4 linked regions of the Arabidopsis thaliana genome follow. The protein of the gene in region 2 interacts with the protein of the main gene of each other region in a pairwise test. Each region holds a gene or a part of one and is shown on either strand. Other genes may lie near its edges.

Region 1 (4,748 bases), on a different chromosome or scaffold from region 2:
TAAAGAATATATATACACAGTTAAAACAAAAATATTCACAGAGAATCACATGAAGTCTTGAGACCATTTGTTTCCTTCGAAGGTCAAAAGATGTTCTACTGAGGTCTGTAGCCACTGTAAGAAATAATAATTGTACTTTGGGATTAAAATATCCAATTGAAACATCAAGCAAAATTGTAATCGAATGAACCGTGAACGTGTAATAAATGGACACACATGTACTTTCTCAGATTCTTTTTGAGGATTGCGGAGAGACGTTTGTCGACATTGGCGTTACATCATTATCAATGATAATGCAATTTAATTAAGAAAAAAATGATTATGCAAATTAAGATTAACGACGATGAGCGGTTGGTCTATGTCGGTTAGTTTTGTATAATGAGATTTCAAGATCCGAAGAAAATTTTGACCTTTTAAAAATTTAACCCAATTTTGTGAGAGTATCCCCGGAATTTTGGAGGTTGGCATGATTAGATATCAACTATCAAGTGTGTCGTACCATTCATGTAATTTCTTTTTTACTAATTTTGTTATATTTCTTTTTAACTGTTTTGATTTATTTATAAATAGACTAAAAAGTATGTTGAGTGAATATGTTTGGTGAAATTCATGCATCGTTTTTGGGAAGTGGGCTGGATCAGTGGATCTCTTCCACACTTTCCCAAACTAATAAAGAGAAACTGAAAATAAATAAAAAACGAAAAAAGTTAAATTATTTAATCGTAATTTAAATTTTGTAAAACAATTTTTATAACTAAAACACCATCTGTGGTAAGACGGTGGAATACATTAAGAATGTAGTATTAAATTACTACTCTACAAGTACTTAACTAATTATTATAATCCTTACATATTATCAGCATCTGAATAATTAACCCAGATTAATACGTATAAATCTTTCACAAATTGGAGAATAAGATTAGGAAATGAAAACAGCTGTATTGAGTCTGGAGAGTTCGTATCCCAACCTCACATGTCCCTCTCACCTTTTCTTCTTCTTCGGCCTACTTACACATGTTCTTCTCATTTTACTCTAAGCACAGATTCTTTTGTATTTCTTAATCTCTTTTTATTTTTATTTCAGGTTTTTTTTCATTTGATTATTCACAAATTAACTATTTTATTTAGTGTTGGTGGTAATTGATTTTTAATTAGTTTCATAGATTTCTGCAGACAAATTCTGGCTTTCATGTTTTTCTTTTTGCTTTTTTTTTTAATAATAATTCGCATTACAAATATATCATTAATTTTTCTTTCTCTTTTGTCGTTACGTGAAAATAGATTTGCTGTGTGTTTTTTTTCTCCCGACAAATATAGACTTAGAGCATTTCCATCGCGAGTTTCTGGATTCTGGTCTATTAAAACAGAACAAAAAATTCAAAAAATGTGGAGAGAAAGTAAAAACGTTTCTCACTTGAGAAACTCATTTTTGCTTTTGTTTTGTTTTGATTGGTTCAAATAATAATTAAAAAAATAAATAATAAAATAATAATAAAATTTATATTATTTTATAAAAATGGGTTTCTCACCGATGGAGATGGTCTTACTGTTTTACTGAAGAAGATTTAATAAAGTTCTCGCTTCTTTTTTCCTCTGAGCTTAACTTTTTACTTTTTGTGATAATAAAAAGAAGAAAACAAAGAAAAAGTTTTGTTTTCCTCTAAAACAAAGAATAGTTTTATCTGCAATCTTTGTAAAAGAAACTGTACTTTGTTTTTTTTTTCAATTTCTTTCCTCCTAAGAAATCACAGTACTAAACAAAACCAAAAGAAAAAAAAAAAAAATTTAGGCAGGTCAATTTTTAAGCTGGTCTGTTTTTGTGTGAGCTTTAATTTTCTGTCTTTGAAATATCTTTATCTACCACGACAGTTTATAAAATTTGAAAGGGAAATTTATTTGGTATTAGGTTTCTAAGAACTTCAATAAAGCTATATTTTCAATTACTTGTTATTAAATGCAAAAAAAAATCTAAATGGATGTTTAGGTATAACTGCAACAAAATTTATGGAAAAAACAAGACTTGATGAATGTATAATCTCAAGAGTTATTTTAAGCATAAATTTAAATCTAAATTTTCTATTTAAAATTATTTGATGAATTTTTCTATTTTTAATTATGATAAATGCAAGATTCATAGTATCTAAATTTAATACAGTATATGATTAGGCTTTTCATTAAACAATATAAATATTTTTTTTATCTTGACATAATGATGAGTAAATAATTTACCAACTAAATACATATAATTTTTGATCAATACCATTCAAAAGAAGAAAAAACACTTTCTCTTACTTATCTTTGAATTAATTTTGAAATATTTCATTAAGAAAAATTAATTGTTTAAAATATTGCTTTGATTAATGTAGACACTCTAGAAAACTTTTTAAAGGTTAGGGAAAAAATGTTACCAAAAAAAAGTTAGGAAAAAAATGTAAAAATAAAGAAAAGAATCTTCTTCCCCTAATAGAATCCAAACAAATGTATCGCTTACCATCAAGTTGCACAAACACTCAAAACGCTTTTTGATGATTTTTCTTCTATAAAATCTTTCTCCTCAACCATTTCAAAGCCCCCTCTTCTCTCCTTCTCTCCCTTTTCTCTCTCTCTCGAAGATATCGCCTTTAATTCCTTCTTCTTCTTCTGATTTCTTCAAAGATTCATTTCTTAGAGATCTCAGCTTCTGTAAGAGTAGGCTAGCTACCAAAAAAAAAGAAATAGAAAAAAACATTGATGCTTAATCAGCAGTTCTTGGTGTTTGAGACACATGTCTCCAATAATACTCAGTGAGATCTTTCTCTCTGGGTTTATGTTAAATTCCACAATCAGGCGCAGGACCCATCTTGTTCAATCTTTCTCTGTTGTCTTCCTTTACTGGCTTTACTATGTCTCATGATCTCTGAACTTATCTCCAGTTTTATATCTATACGCATAATTACAACAAAACCCTAGTTTCTTTTCAAATTTCTCTTCTTCGTTTTTCGTCATCTGGGTCCTGTCCTGTTCTGTTGTGTCTTGTTCTGTTCTGTTTTTAATTCCCCTAAAAACCCATTTTAAAATATTTTATCTCTCTTCTCTTAAAAAAAACTCTTCCCTGTTTTTGTTTGTGTGTTACTAAATGGAATCGTCGTCGTCGGGAACAACTTCGTCGACGATTCAAACGTCGTCAGGATCGGAGGAGAGTCTCATGGAGCAGAGGAAACGTAAACGGATGCTCTCAAACCGTGAATCTGCAAGGAGATCAAGAATGAAGAAACAAAAGCTCCTAGACGATCTAACGGCTCAGGTTAATCATCTGAAAAAAGAGAACACGGAGATCGTGACAAGTGTCAGCATCACAACGCAACACTACCTAACCGTTGAAGCAGAGAACTCTGTTCTCAGAGCTCAGCTTGATGAACTTAACCACAGGCTCCAATCTCTCAACGACATCATCGAGTTCCTCGACAGTAGCAACAACAACAACAACAACAACATGGGCATGTGTTCGAACCCTCTGGTTGGTTTGGAGTGTGATGATTTCTTCGTGAATCAGATGAACATGTCTTATATTATGAACCAGCCTCTCATGGCGTCTTCTGATGCTTTAATGTATTAAATGTGGACCTAAAAACCCCCTCGAAATCACAAAGAAATGGGGCCGTTTTTATTTGTCCGATTTAGAGACATGTCCAAAGAGAGAGATTTATATATAAAAATGGGTCTGTTGTTTGATTTGTTTCCATTTCAAATTTTTGTTTGTTTGGGTCCGTTTTAGGCGTTAGGTATCTCTAAGCATCATCGTTATGAGTGTGTCTGTAATAAAGGCTCTGTTGCCGCATGAGTACAAAGTGTTTTCTTAATATTGTAATATGCTTATTACTTTCTTTTTATTCTTAAGTACTAATCCCATTTTTATATAATTTCTTGAGCATTAATAGTAAAGTAATAAAATGTATCGTAGTAAGAGTTTCGCATGTAACGTACGCTCTACAGAATCATGTTTCACGCCAATCAAACATTATAGTAGGCAGATGAAATATCAATGATAAAATAGCTTGTAATTTTGGGTAATCTTCAACTCGCCAAAGTAAAATTTTAAAAAGGTGTTAATGTTGATTAAGGTGTTTTTAGTCATGAACGAGTGTGGATGATATTAGATTCAGTTTATAGATTTGGATCTATTCTTAAGAAGAAGACTTACGAAATTCAAAACTTTTAAGAATCTAGATGAATTGAGGGTTGGTAGGTTAATGTTGTAATAAGAAGAAACCTTATTTTCTTTTTGATCTGGAAAAAGATAAACAACATATAACATCTTACATAAAATCCTTTTATGTCTGAAGATCTCTCAGAATAAGAAATGAAACTGTGCAGATTCTTGTAAAATATTTTAAACTTATTTCTTGTGAATTTTGGAGATTTTTTTTGTGTGCTAGACTTATAGGTGAAATCATAGCCTCTTGTATTCTTTGCTTTTACACATCATCTTTTAATTGATTTTCTTATCTCAAATTTCTTTTTGGGATTTTAAATTTCACAGTTCCATTTATCACCAATAGATCCATATACAAGTACATCACAAAATAATGGTTATACTACATCGTGAGTAATAATGGGAATCCTATTCTACCCTTTTGGCAGAACTATACTTTTTGTTGCTGGATAGTTTGTTTTATATCCATTGATCACGGATGGTTCATTTCATAAATATTATAAATAGAAAGCCTCTTTTTATTTTATATGAAGAAGTCTTCTATTTGATAATTGCG
Region 2 (5,229 bases):
ATTCCAGAGTTTAATAGATTTGAAGATTCAAGGACATCGGTTTTCTACCTTTTCAAAAACGCTGCAAATGGATCTGGTGAAATACGGAGTAAGAAGCTGAAATCTGTTGGAATCAAGTGCTGAAAATGGTGATTTTCCTCACTGAAATTCTTTTGAATCTGACCGGATTTTTCCATTTTTGGTGGCAAGTCGGTTGTTTTCCACCACTCCTTTGTGCAATAACACGTGGGACGTGGCTAACACGTGTCTCATTTTAAACCTAGTCTTAATTTGATGTATTATTGTATGGGTTTAGTTTGGACTTATATCATGGGGTTTTGGATCCACAAATTTCACCTATACTTCTCTTATAATTTGCCCTTTTGGGTTAGTAATCAAAGAAATTGTCGACAAAAAAAAATACGTCAAAAGTACTCCTAAATTTTATATAATATACAAAATTTCTAAATATTTCATGAATATTAATTCTACAAAAGAGCATATTAATTCTTATTAGAGATGTTTTATCCGATCTGAACCAAATCAAAATAATCGATACGAAAAAACGAACATAATTGAATATCTTAAATCATAATTTAAAGGTTACTTTGAAAAAAAATATAAATTAATAAGGTTTAATTATAGTTATTTTATTTATATATATATTTATAATCTAATTCGGATTTAAACAAAAATTATTGATAGAAACCCGATTCTAAGAGCCGAAATTTGGGATTAAACTCGTAATTTCTAGTTTCAATAACCAAAATTATACGTTTGCATCGTTGCCTCATCACCATTTCAATAGTTTCACTAGGTGAAATTGATAAAACTTGTAATTCTTAACAGAAATTAGAAAAACTTTGTAAATTTAACAAAAGACATGTACAATGAAAATTAGAAGTTCAACACAAACAATCAACGAAGAAGACAAAAAAAAATTTAAATAATCTGAAAAAACAATTCTTTACAAAAACATACAACATTTTGTCTTAACATATGTCTTAAGATTAATGTTACAAATCAAGATTCTTCTTTAACAGCTACTGATCCCCAACGCTTCGAATACGTTTCTGCAGATGTTCCAAGCTCTCAACTCTACGCATCGAAGCTGTTCTGTTCATCTTGCACCCTATCAAGGCCTTGCCTTTGTTCCCCGAGCTAATGATCTCTGGTGTAGTCACTTGGCTGCTTGTAGTGTCTGGAGAATTTGATGTCTCTGAAGGAAGAGAGACAGTTGAAACAATCTGAGGCATATTGTGGAACATTGGGTTAAAGCCAGTGAGTCTCTTCACTGTCTCTTCAGCCATTTTCACCTGCCAAAAACAAACATGCTTCAATAGCGAGTTTTGGTAGACAGAGAGATAAAAGAAAGTATTTTACCTTTGCTCGTAGTGTCTCAATATTGGCTTTTAAAACTCTGTTTTCTACAGATGCATCATTGAATGTTTGAGTTACATCAGTGAGACCCTTCATGAGTTTTGAATTCTCTACACGAAGCTGTGAAACCTACACGAAATGGAGATTGTCGCACAAGTGAGCTAAACAAAGTTAAAGGAGAAAGAATAAGAACGCTGCGAGAGTAACATACTTGTGTCTCTAGCTCACTCAAGTGTGCTTGCTTTCTTCTTCTGGACCGTCTAGCTGATTCTCTATTAGAGAGCATCCTATAACAAACAAATTCACGTTCATGTTCATGTTCAAGTCCAAGAAAGGATGTAAATTTGTTACCTTTTAACGCGTTTAACATTAGTAGGGTTCATATTAGTTTCACCATCAGCTTCTTCTTCATCACCAGAGAGCTCAGATCCACTTGTTATAGCACTGCTCATCATTGGTGTAGCTGCATACAGATTGGTCCATTAGCATTTACAAGAAATCTTGAAAACAAACACAACAACTATCAATAACATCTTAAAAGGCTTATCATAGATGTATTGTAAAACCTTTGGAAGAAGCAAGAGAGGCTTGTTCTGATTCATTGGCTCCACCATTGTCAGATCTACCAGAAGTATCCTGAGGTTTGATGAAAGTTCCCTATCAAATTTTCAATATTAACACCACAAAATCAATTAACTAATGCAAATTATAATCTCAAGGAAGATAATGGCAAATCATATACAAAAGGTCCAATAAGATCTTAACACTCAAACATAACAAAACAAGATTAGTTTCTTAGCTTCAAGTGAACTCATCAAACTAACAGATAAAAAGGTTTTGTTTTTCTTTTTCTATGAAAAAAAAAAAAACTCAAACTTGAGCAGAGTAGTGAGTACCCTTTTCATGGCGACAGCAGCACAAGCAAGATTAAGTTTACTCTTGAGAAATGCTCTGTATTCCTCTGAATCTACAGGAACATTAGGAGGAGAGGAGACGGAAACACCACACGCCGTCGTAGATTCTCCGTCGTCTGCAGCGGCGGAGGATTCTTGTATGAAACGATTGAATGCCCATTCGGAAGCACTGCGATTCAACGACGTCATTCCATTAACCGACCAGTGATGGTTACCGGAGATTTCTTCGTCGGAGAAAACTTTTTCCATCTTTTCTCTTTTGTAATTTGTTTGTTTCTTTAGTTTTATTTATTTTTTTTTGGTTTCAAATTGTCAAAACAGTTTCTTCTTATCCGATTGGGCAGTCTTGCATTTTAATAATATGTTCTTTTCAAGTTTTGTTGTTTTGTTAGATATTTAATTGTCTGATTATTACCCTAATGGCCCCGACAAGAGTCGTGTATTTCTATTTACAGCAAAAACTTTTGATTTATTCTGTTAGGTCACTGTTTTCTTGTAGTATCTTAAAAAACGACAGGTCATAATACAAAAAATTATAACGATTTTTATTAACAACAGAACTAATAATAAATAAAAGGAAAAAAGTATCTGGAAATATGGTTTTAGTTATACTAATTTTTCTACTTTTTAGAACAATTTTTAGTTTATAAGATATATAGAATGGAAAAAATAATTAAAGTGTCAAACTTTTTTTTTTCTTTCTTAAAACATGTTTTTAAAAAAGGTGAGATTCGCCTACAGTTACAACGAATAATAATATTAAGATACACAAATTAAAATAGAAAAAACTGATCAGAGTCAAAAAAGAAAATTGTATCCTAGTGGACAATGGAAAACGGAGAATCTACTGCTTAACCCACCTTATCTCAATATCTTTCTTCGATCTCACAATGGCCGACACAATGACCGAGCTACGAGAAAAAATTGTTACTATCACCAACGTCCTCTACCATAAAGGGATTTTTCGAGGTAAGGGATTTTACTCACTCTTGAGCACTCAAGATAAATTCCAAGATTAGCGGTAAAAATCAAAAATAATCGAAAATTTTAAATTTAAAAACGATTCTTTAAGAAAGAAAAAACCGTTAGAAACGATGTAATGATTGTAATTTTTCAGACCATTTTATAAAAAAAATAAATAATATTATTAAGAAAACAAAAATTATTAAGATTATCAGAAATGCAGTCTCCTTCACAAACTTCATTGCCTAATTGTTTACTCAAATGTGTAATATATATCGATCTTATATTCCACGTTTGAAAGGGGACGATTAGGGGTTCATATTTATAAACAACAAATGTTGGTGTATAATTGATAAAAACAGAAGAATATGAGGAGCTTAAAGTAATATTTAAAATATACATGTAATAATATTTGTTTATGCCTTATTGGATTTAATAATATTTTTTTCAACGCTTTTTGGGGCAAATCCAAGTCAGACTGACGTGGCAAGGGGTATTTTAGTCAATTTAAATTTTGATCTGCATCACAAGAATATATAAATAATAAATATTATAGTTGTCGTCGGTTTTGTAACGTAACTTCATTTCATGGGTCCATTTAATATTCCCATTTGCATTTTACAAAGGAAAGGAGAGATCCGAGAGGAACATAATATATAGTTTTGTAAGTGAAGTTAGATTAGAGAAATGTACTAAACTTCTGATTTTTGGATAAGAATCTATCCAAATTCAAGTTGCATATTTTGGTGGGTCCTTTATTTTTGCATATATTAGTACACTTGTGCAAAACCTTTTATCAAGAGAATATCTAGTGAGAGAGAAACATAACACTTGCAAACCAAGTGGATGTTGGTGGTTTGACTTTGAGAATATCAGTAGTTCAACTCTATTTGAAAGAATGATTTACGTTTTATCAAAGTACGTCTCTATTACACCATTAGTAGAATTTTGTAGACTTTTCTATGTTAAAGTGGTTTAGAAAAATCTCAAACTGTATAATTTCGTGTGACATTTTGTCTTATTTTAGGAAGAATTATTATGTAGGTTAGGTTATGAATCAATTTCTAAATCATTCTTATTTTGACCTGGTGTCATGTTTAAGGTTTATTAAAAATCCGATGAATGGACTATTCAACGGCTACACTCAGAGTTGGTCCTAAAACCCAAAATATTTTTTGCCTATAAATATTTAAAATATAGCAAAATGATGCATTGGAGACTTAAACCTATAACATGAGAAACAAAAAAACCCGGAAAAATCACTGTCCTACAAGAAATTTATAGTTTTGGTGCTTTCAAAATGAAATATATATTTTGAGGCTTAAAACCCTTAATTGTTCAGCTTTAGATTAGGACAGACAGTGGATACATTTACTTTGAAAAAGTTTGTCGATGGTAAAACTGGAACACCCCTGATTATCAGATTTTTTTTTTTGTTGTCTTACTTTCAAAAGAGTAGGTTTATCTGTTCAAGAAACTATTTCTACATTTTTTTGTGGATTTTTTTCGTGTCGTGTATGGGTTATTTATTCGTTGGTTTGTTTTTCTTTTTCCGTATAATGCTGAAAGATTTGGAAAATAGAACATTGCCAAAAAAAAAAGATATGCATGCAGCTAGGCCGGTGGGATCAATTAGTGGGCCTAATGAAACGTGTTGGCTCATACATTTGGGATATATGGCCCCATTTTTTAGCAACAAGGCTCAATAGCCACATGAAATATTTATATTTTGTTCATGTTTCTAACGAACAAATATTTGAATATCATTCGGACCACATTTTCTTGGACAGCAATGTTTGGATTGCTTAAATAATATTGAGTACTAATATTCATATTTTTTTGTGTGGCTGTGGTTTATAACATAATGTTATAGTCAATTTCGCTCAATTTGTTTGTTAATATTTTGGAGTTGTAAATAACTAAATACTAAAATAGAAAGAATTTGAAATTCTTAGCAGAGAGAGTACAAAAGCTTACTAAAAATTGTGGTTTT
Region 3 (4,609 bases), on a different chromosome or scaffold from region 2:
ACTTTTGGCATTATCATGAGATTCAAAGCGAAACTTAGTAAAATGGTCGTTAGTTTATAACCTGCATAGTATTAGTTACACCTTTTTAATTGAATTACTATGTCAAAATATAGGTTCTAAGTATATAATATATATTCTGATAAAATTTTGTTTCATATAGAACTGAGTTAAGCAAGCAATATTCTGAAATTTCTTAAGATATTTATCTAATTAAATTAGTTAGGTGAACTAGTTTTATTGATAATTTATTTGACATAATAAGTAATAAACATTAATATTAAATAATATTATCTCGGCTATTATGGTTGTATGATTTTTATTTTTTTGTGTGTGTAATACTATATATAAAATAAAACAGTCTCTACATCAGTTTTTATTTTATGAAATTAGATGTGATATGCCTGTTGCCCAAAAAAAAAAGAAGATGTGATATGCCTTAGTAGAAAGCAATAACAACAATCTTTTTGTTGAATGAAAAATTATTGAGGTGACGATTATTATTTTTATGGTAAGTGGTAACCATTTGTATTTTAGACATTAATTTATAGTGGGATCTTTTGCCTTTCCAATACATGTCGCATTTTTATTTATTTATTCAATTGATTTTGCGTTATGATAAATATATTTGAGATATCTTAATTAGTTCGATGAAACCTTGGGTATCTGAAAAATCTTCGATTTTGTAAAGAAAATTATGTTTCTGTATCGAATAAAATTAATTTTTCATTTAAAATGAAAGATTTTTTAAAAAAATAAGGCCAAATAAGCATTGTGTGAAGAAGACAAATTAGTACAAATTACTTTTTCTTACCTGTTGCAATGTTTGCAGGGACACATTCATTAATTGGAAATACCTAATTAACGTTAGACTTCACTTATTCGATTGAACCAACATTTTTTCTTTTTAAAAATCCATTTTCAATAATAAAATGACACGTGTCGATCTTACATCTCAACTGCGATGTTTGACATGGGTCCACATGCGCACAGAGCACGCACTCTTTGCATTGCAATTGCACGTGAGATGTCCGTACTATGACGGTCCATCTTACATAATTTTCCTATTCAATTAATTAAGCTATATATATATGTGTGTTTTACAAAATTTAGTATATAATATTATTGTAAGTTATAGAGCTGTAGATGAGTACGTATTATTCTTATTTCAATCTTTTTATGAGATTTATAGATATCAAAGTTTTGCCGAAATGTTTGATTAATTACGAGCTCGAGGATGAACAAAAAAATTTGGTAAAGAGTTTCTCACAAACCATTTCAGTTAAAGCACCAAAACCAAATGATTAAGTAGTCATGGTCCACATGTAATATGTTACACACAATAAAATTATTTTATAAATTGACACGAATTTACGTCTTGGATTCTACAATCCAATGTTATGTAACTATACGTACCACAACACGTCGGTCACATGAAGTTCAATGAGTTAAAGTTTTTGACACCCTTAATGTTTAGATAATGTATATATGTTCTTCTTTTTGTTGTCAAATAGTAGTTTTTTACCGTACTGTAATTTACTCGTTTAAAGTTTATTGTTTTTTCTTTTTGTCTTTTCTTTTCGATATGTAACTTGATATTTTATAGTGGACTCCAAAACGTTATAGAAATATTGTAAAGATAATAATAGTTCTAATTTTGATGCTTCATACGGCGATAAATTCAACGGCTGGTTAGTTGATAGTTTTCTAAACTATTAATTTATTATCCTAAATATATATATTATTTTTTTGGACAGCGAAATTGATTGAATTATTGACAAAAAGATATATGTATAAGAAATTAAATAACGAAAATACCACCTCTACCCTCATTCATGATTTGTCTCATGCTCCAGGTGTCCGTTGCTCAACGGTTAATTCTGGTACTTTGGGCGGTGATTTTGATGTATTAAAAAGAAGTCGAGAACCAACGACAAAAGTTTCAATTATTCTTATTATTATTATCTTTAAGATTCTTTAGCAGTAAAAGTTAGCATTAATACAAAACTATTATTATCAGTGTTACTGTAATATTGTTGAAAGCCATCATTTGACCAAAATTAATTAAACGCGTTGTTTTCATCAGAGAATAAAATTTGAAGATTTTAAAAATCAAAACTTTTCACAAAATAGGATACCCAATACCGAAGATTCTTTCCTTTTCCATATTAAAAATGTCTAAAAATAGTTATTGGTTAATTATACAGAATCATTAATTTACAATTAAACCCATACACATAAATATATAAATAAAATATTGCAAAACAGCTGTAACTTGACTGTTTCGGAAAATCCCACTTCACATGCTTCATCTCTCAACACCTTCTTTCTGATATTCACTTTATACTCTCTTTATTTTCTTATTAAATCTAGTATGCTCTAAACCCTTTTTGCTAACTCTATAAAATCCCCTCACAAATCCTTAATTCACCTCTTCCCCTTCGCTCTCGAATCAATCACTCTCTCTTCTTTAGCGTTTTTATTTTGTCTTCCTCGTTTTCTTCTACCTTTTTATATTTTCTCTCTTTTCAGTTTTCTCTAGAAAAAAACACTAGTAATCAGTTTGCGTTTGATAAATATTTGATGTGGCAAAACTCTTGTGGATCTTGATGTTCAAACATTCATGTCTCCGGTGATTAGTGAAATCCTTAGATCTGGTTTAACTATAGACTCGTCTCTTAGACGCAGGACCCATCTTGTTCAATCTTTCTCCGTCGTCTTTCTCTACTGGTTCTATGTTTTCTCATAAATCAGCTCTCCTTTAGCCCTTTATTATTATATATTCTATAACCATAATAATATATTAAAACTATATACTATAATCTTTTTACATAATAAACTTTGGGTCCTGCGTCTTAATCATAGTACTTAATTTTCTCTGTGTGTTTTAATATGAATAATAAAACTGAAATGGGATCTTCCACAAGTGGAAATTGCTCGTCGGTTTCAACCACTGGTTTAGCTAACTCCGGTTCAGAATCTGATCTCCGGCAACGTGATCTAATCGACGAGCGGAAGAGAAAGAGGAAACAGTCGAACAGAGAATCTGCGAGGAGGTCGAGGATGAGGAAGCAGAAGCATTTGGATGATCTCACTGCTCAGGTGACTCATCTACGTAAAGAAAACGCTCAGATCGTCGCCGGAATCGCCGTCACGACGCAGCACTACGTCACTATCGAGGCGGAGAACGACATTCTCAGAGCTCAGGTTCTTGAACTTAACCACCGTCTCCAATCTCTTAACGAGATCGTTGATTTCGTCGAATCTTCTTCTTCAGGATTCGGTATGGAGACCGGTCAGGGATTATTCGACGGTGGATTATTCGACGGCGTGATGAATCCTATGAATCTAGGGTTTTATAATCAACCAATCATGGCTTCTGCTTCTACTGCTGGTGATGTTTTCAACTGTTAGAAAACTTCACATCATTATCATCGTGAGTGAGACTAATCATCGCAGCAGGGGTAAAACTGTAATTTTTCTTATAAATTATGTGATGATGCTTTGTTTCTTTATTTTATAAGATGGTTAATTAGTGTTTAAAACTGATTGTAATGATAGACAGTGTAAGAAATGTGTGATATCATGGAGATGGTGATGTGAGTTTGGTACAAATATTTTAAGATCTTTTCTTTCTATATATTAAAAGTGAAGAAATAATATTTTGTCATTTTCTTAGAGTTTTCTGTTTCCTTATTTGGGAGTTATTGTTGCTCTTATTAGAAAGATGAAATTTTGGCTATTAGTGAAATAAATGAAAATAATGTGAAAGCTCGTGGACGGTTTTTGTAGATGGCGGTGGTCCATTTAAAATACTATATAGAAATGGTGTGTTGTGATTATTGTGTTAGAGACTATATTTTCCCGATGTGATAAAATAATTATGCATTTTGGTACTTACATCAAAATGAGTTGTTATCATGGGTCACTCGAGTTTTTTTCTTTTTTAAGAATTTTATACCATCTCCATCGAAGTATCTGATTGAGATACTCATCAAATAAATAATAATTAAAAAGAAAAAAAACAAGAGAGAAAGAAAGAAAAGTGGCGAACCGTTTCTGGCAAAAGAGACGATTCTTAGCATTTATTGAGAGTTGTCATTCAACTAATGGTTTATTTACTTTAAACTAATTAAAATATATTAATTTAATTAAAATACTAATTTATTTATTTTTTGAGATATTCTCTACCACTTTTGTCGATGAAGATGCTCTTACGTACGAGGCCATATGATCTCGTTATTCTCAATCATTTCGTTTCTTTGATCCTTTAAATATCTGAATGCCAATTCTTTGATCTCAAATCCCGATCATTCACAAATTCACTTAATATTTCATGAAGTGGTTAAGGGAAATCATATCATTGCTAAACCAGTTCATTATTATGTGTTGTGCCATTTGGATCTGAAATTTTCATAACATACGTTCTTTTTTTTTTTTTTTTTATCGATGAATCTCAAACTAAGGTCAACACTAATATTAATTTTCTTAAAACAAAGTCTACACTAATCTTTGGAACTGTGAAAGTAAAACACGAGTATTCTCGTCATTTAAATTTTTTTTAACATATACAATTCCAATTCTTTTTTGGAAAAACTCAAACAATGATCTC
Region 4 (3,899 bases), 9.3 Mb from region 2:
TTCAAAATTTTATCAAGTTTTAACGTTTTCATGTTTAAAAAAATGATTCCATTATATAGCACTAGCGTATTAAAAATTATAACTAAGAAACGTGATTAATCTACAATAACTAGTTTTTTTTAGCAATTTATAATCATTCTACATAAACTTTCTTTAGTTCATTTCATTCAGCTAACCATTATTTAGTTATTCTATTGTTCAGCTATCCATCTCACATACCAATCAAACCCATCAAAACGAGAAAACTCTAAACTAAGGGGTAAAGACTTGACTGGTACATTAGTTGAATAACTGAACAATACAATAGCGGAATCACCAGGACGACAAAATTCAAAACGGAATAAACTTAACACGCCAAAAAGCTACTTAATAAATGACTTTGTCTAAACTAGTTAGTTATACATTTAACACATGCGAAATAGATTGGAAAATAGCTTATTAATTTTCACGGTTTATCACTCCGTGGTTATTATTGTGAATGGTATACACTCGGCAAAATCACGTTTTGAAACACATGAACATGCAAATAAGACACATACCATTCAAGCCCTATATTATTTTGAATTATTCATAAAATTGAAAAATTTGACACAAAAAATTGTTATCGTGTTACCAAAGCAATTTTTATCGGTAATACTCAATTATGACCAGAACATATACTACTTCCCCACTTTTTGCTTCAATTTTGATTACTTCATCAGTTCTGCCATTTACATGCAAGGTACCAAAAAAACTTTTTTTTTTTCTTTCGGGTTAACCACCGAAAATCATATAACGTTAAATGAAAATGTTGAAAACAATAAGATATGCAATTGTATCAGAATTCAGAAAGTAATGAGAAGAAACAATTCGATATAAAAAGATTACAAAAACTATAAAATGACCAAAGTAAAACACACACTAATACACAAATCTCATGTCTTAAAGGACGCCATTGGTTGTAGAGAACCACAACTCAATTTCCACGGTGTACGTCTACAATCTCCAACCGCTATTCCCGCGTTTGCGTTCTGATCGTCGACACAATCGCCACCACCACTCTGCGTCAGCGTTAAACTCGTCGTAGCAATCATATTCTCTAAATCGCTAACGTAACTCGAGAGCCAAATCTTCTCCGATCTAAGACCCGCGTTCTCCGTTTCGACCGAGTCAAGCCTCTGTTTTACAGCTCGACATCTCTCACTGTTCTCTTTGATTCGTCGTTCAAGACTGGAGATCTCATGAATCGTGTCTTCCATTAACTTCTGTTTCTTCAAACGCGACCTCCTTGCAGATTCGCGGTTTGATAACTTGCGTTTTCTTTTCTTCTCATCTATGTCGGAACCTGAACTTGTCTTCTCTGCGTTTGCCATGTTTTTTTGTTCAAGAGATAACGTAAAACCAATGAAGAATCACAACTGATATAGAATGATAAACAAGGAATTGGTTGAGATTTATCATTTCATAACTCTGTCCATTGTCTTTTCATAACTCAAGAACTCAAGAATTTCAAGACAAGAAAAAAGAATTTCAAGAATCTGTGATTTTGCGAGGATCAAGAGAAATTAAACAAGAAGATCTTTATTTATGATTACGTTTGATTTTAAGAGAAGAGAAGAGATTAGTTAGAAGAGAAATAGAACAAGGAAGAAGATAAGGATAAGATCGAAAATAAGGAAAGTGGGAGAAGTTGTTCGTTTTAGGTTGCTCTTATTTATAGATTTAACATTATAAAAAAAAATCTCGAATTTTTACATTAGAAAAGATTATCCAAATTGTATAAGAAAGGAAGATTCATCGAATGACGAATCGGAAAAGAAAGAGAATTTTAGTCAAACATTTTTATTTTTTACTTTTTTGGTTTATTGTTTTTATTTTATTTTATTTTTATTAGGACATAACAGCTAAATAGGTGTTGGTGTTGTTCCTTAATAGGTGACCAGTAATTACTATTTTTGCTTTTTAGCATTTAAATTGTTGTTTTGTTGTGCATTTAGTTGTCACACTCGTAGGATAATTCAAGAAATATCCTACGAAAACTAGATTCTATAACCTTCTAATTATGTATATATACTTGTCCAAATTTAATTCATCGTTTTGTAAGTCCCTTTTTCTGCAACTCCAGTAAAAATAGAGTATGATTGTCTAAAATCAGTAAACTGGATCAGTTAATGTCAGTGGGTAATGCATTAGCTGACATAAACACGTTCCGATCATTATTTCTTCTTAGTTCGGTTTTAACTACTAAGCATTTCAAAAAGTTACACAACCATTTTAAATTTTAAATTGCTAATGGGACAAAAATACCTCATTTAGAAAGAATCATACGTACGTAAACTATATCGTCAATGAAACACGAAGTTCTTTTGGAATTGGACAGGTTAAACGTGGAGCAATGACCGACTATTTTTAGTGTTTTTAATTTTGGGGATTTAGAGATTACGCTTAACATGGTTGACAATTTTATTATTAAAGAAAATTATCCATGTTGAAAGCAAAATTCCATTTGATATTACTTTTGTGTGGGTCTTATCTGAAATGATTTTAGTAAACTAAAAGAAAGAGACTGTATATATTGATAAGCCAGCCCTGCTTTCTTTTCAAATGAAAATACAAAACAATAGAAGATGGGCGATAATTTATTAATTAATATAATACTTGAAAATACACGATCCTTATCTGCTCACCGATAAACTATATATCATTATTTATTTATCAGATAAATAAAATACTTCAATATAATTATTTTTCATAAAAAAAAAGTAGATGCACTTCATTGGTTGGCTAGTTTTAGAAATTTGTTTAGGTTCTACGGACCTTTTGTTCGGGTCTGAGTCAATCTTGATATTTGAGGTTTTGAACAAACTAGAAAAAAATGAAAAAACTAATGCAGAAATCTACATGTAAATTGCTGTTAATTGTTATTTTATTTTAAGTGTTTATAACGTGGTAAAGTATATTAAAAGTTTTATTTAGATAACAAATTTATTATTATTTTTGTTTGACATATTTTCATTAATAAGATCTGATCTATAGATAATCCCTAACTATTATCCAAATAACGTGATTTAATAAAGTCAAACTCCAGTAGAAAATGTGGAGTTAAATAGGTTTAACCAATTGACTATTACCACCATTATTGTTTAAACTACTGGTTACATATTTCTTTGTTTTTTTTATGAAATTTGTTAAATTTGTAATCATATACATGATATATTGAAATTTAATGTTTTGGGTTTTAGGGAGTGTTGTAGTTTCTCTTTTTTTTGCCATTGATATTTCTCTATCAACTTTCTTAATTATTTTTTTAATTATTAGTTCCAAATTGTGGTTGAAACTTAGTGGTTTGTTTTAAAAGTGTTGTTGTCATATTAGAATCCTAATTTATAGTTTAAAATGTATGTGTATAAACTAAATGATAGAATAAACATGCAAGTTTTTTTTTTGAACCCTATATCTAATTTTAAGAAGACAAGTACAAAACAGAAATAAAACTTCTCAAATTCTAACACATTTATCTAAGAACGTGAACTAAATCAAGTTTAACAAATAAAAACATTTGCTCCTGTTTATCGTATTAAGAAAGTTTGCATTCTTATTTTTGTTTTCTTTGTTTTAACAGTAGTTTTGTGTGTGCTCTAGAAAGTCAATCAAGTGTTTCAAATATAGAATTTTATAATCCTTCTAACGTTATAGCAAATACCTATGTGTACAGAATATATATATATGATTTATCGTCTTCGACTTCTTTGTATACAGACATTTATAATCTTTTAATGGGTTCAATATAGATAATTGCTGATCCGACAATTAGTATATTCTCGTAGTTATCACGATTCATGATGATGATGATGATGATGATTACATCATCCAATTTGTTAGACAATTTCTATGGATGACATCTGATAAACAGAGTGAGA

What was found.
Region 1: the proteins of BZO2H3 (region 2) and GBF6 interact in binary tests that used the Arabidopsis thaliana proteins (3 or more experiments, as listed by UniProt).
Region 3: the proteins of BZO2H3 (region 2) and bZIP44 interact in binary tests that used the Arabidopsis thaliana proteins (3 or more experiments, as listed by UniProt).
Region 4: the proteins of BZO2H3 (region 2) and bZIP1 interact in binary tests that used the Arabidopsis thaliana proteins (3 or more experiments, as listed by UniProt).

Annotation. Positions count from the first base shown.
Region 1 is NC_003075.7:16,519,334-16,524,081, forward strand, and holds GBF6 (G-box binding factor 6), read left to right. Parts: upstream 1-2,527; 5' UTR 2,528-3,115; coding exon 3,116-3,595; 3' UTR 3,596-3,897; downstream 3,898-4,748. UniProt on the Arabidopsis thaliana protein: Transcription factor that binds to the DNA sequence 5'-ACTCAT-3' in target gene promoters. Promotes POX1/PRODH1 expression in response to hypoosmolarity stress.
Region 2 is NC_003076.8:10,795,626-10,800,854, forward strand, and holds BZO2H3 (bZIP transcription factor family protein), read right to left. Parts: upstream 2,681-5,229; 5' UTR 2,523-2,680; coding exon 2,256-2,522; intron 2,017-2,255; coding exon 1,926-2,016; intron 1,823-1,925; coding exon 1,711-1,822; intron 1,647-1,710; coding exon 1,571-1,646; coding exon of another isoform or gene 1,489-1,570; coding exon 1,363-1,488; coding exon of another isoform or gene 1,296-1,362; coding exon 1,023-1,295; 3' UTR 832-1,022; downstream 1-831. UniProt on the Arabidopsis thaliana protein: Transcription factor involved in controlling responses to starvation. BZIP2-BZIP63-KIN10 complex binds to the ETFQO promoter to up-regulate its transcription.
Region 3 is NC_003070.9:28,289,335-28,293,943, forward strand, and holds bZIP44 (basic leucine-zipper 44), read left to right. Parts: upstream 1-2,363; 5' UTR 2,364-2,889; coding exon 2,890-3,411; 3' UTR 3,412-3,674; downstream 3,675-4,609. UniProt on the Arabidopsis thaliana protein: Transcription factor that binds to the DNA G-box motif 5'-CACGTG-3' of MAN7 promoter. Involved in the positive regulation of seed germination through MAN7 gene activation.
Region 4 is NC_003076.8:20,049,598-20,053,496, reverse strand, and holds bZIP1 (basic leucine-zipper 1), read right to left. Parts: upstream 1,669-3,899; 5' UTR 1,353-1,668; coding exon 915-1,352; 3' UTR 762-914; downstream 1-761. UniProt on the Arabidopsis thaliana protein: Transcription factor that binds to the C-box-like motif (5'-TGCTGACGTCA-3') and G-box-like motif (5'-CCACGTGGCC-3'), ABRE elements, of gene promoters involved in sugar signaling.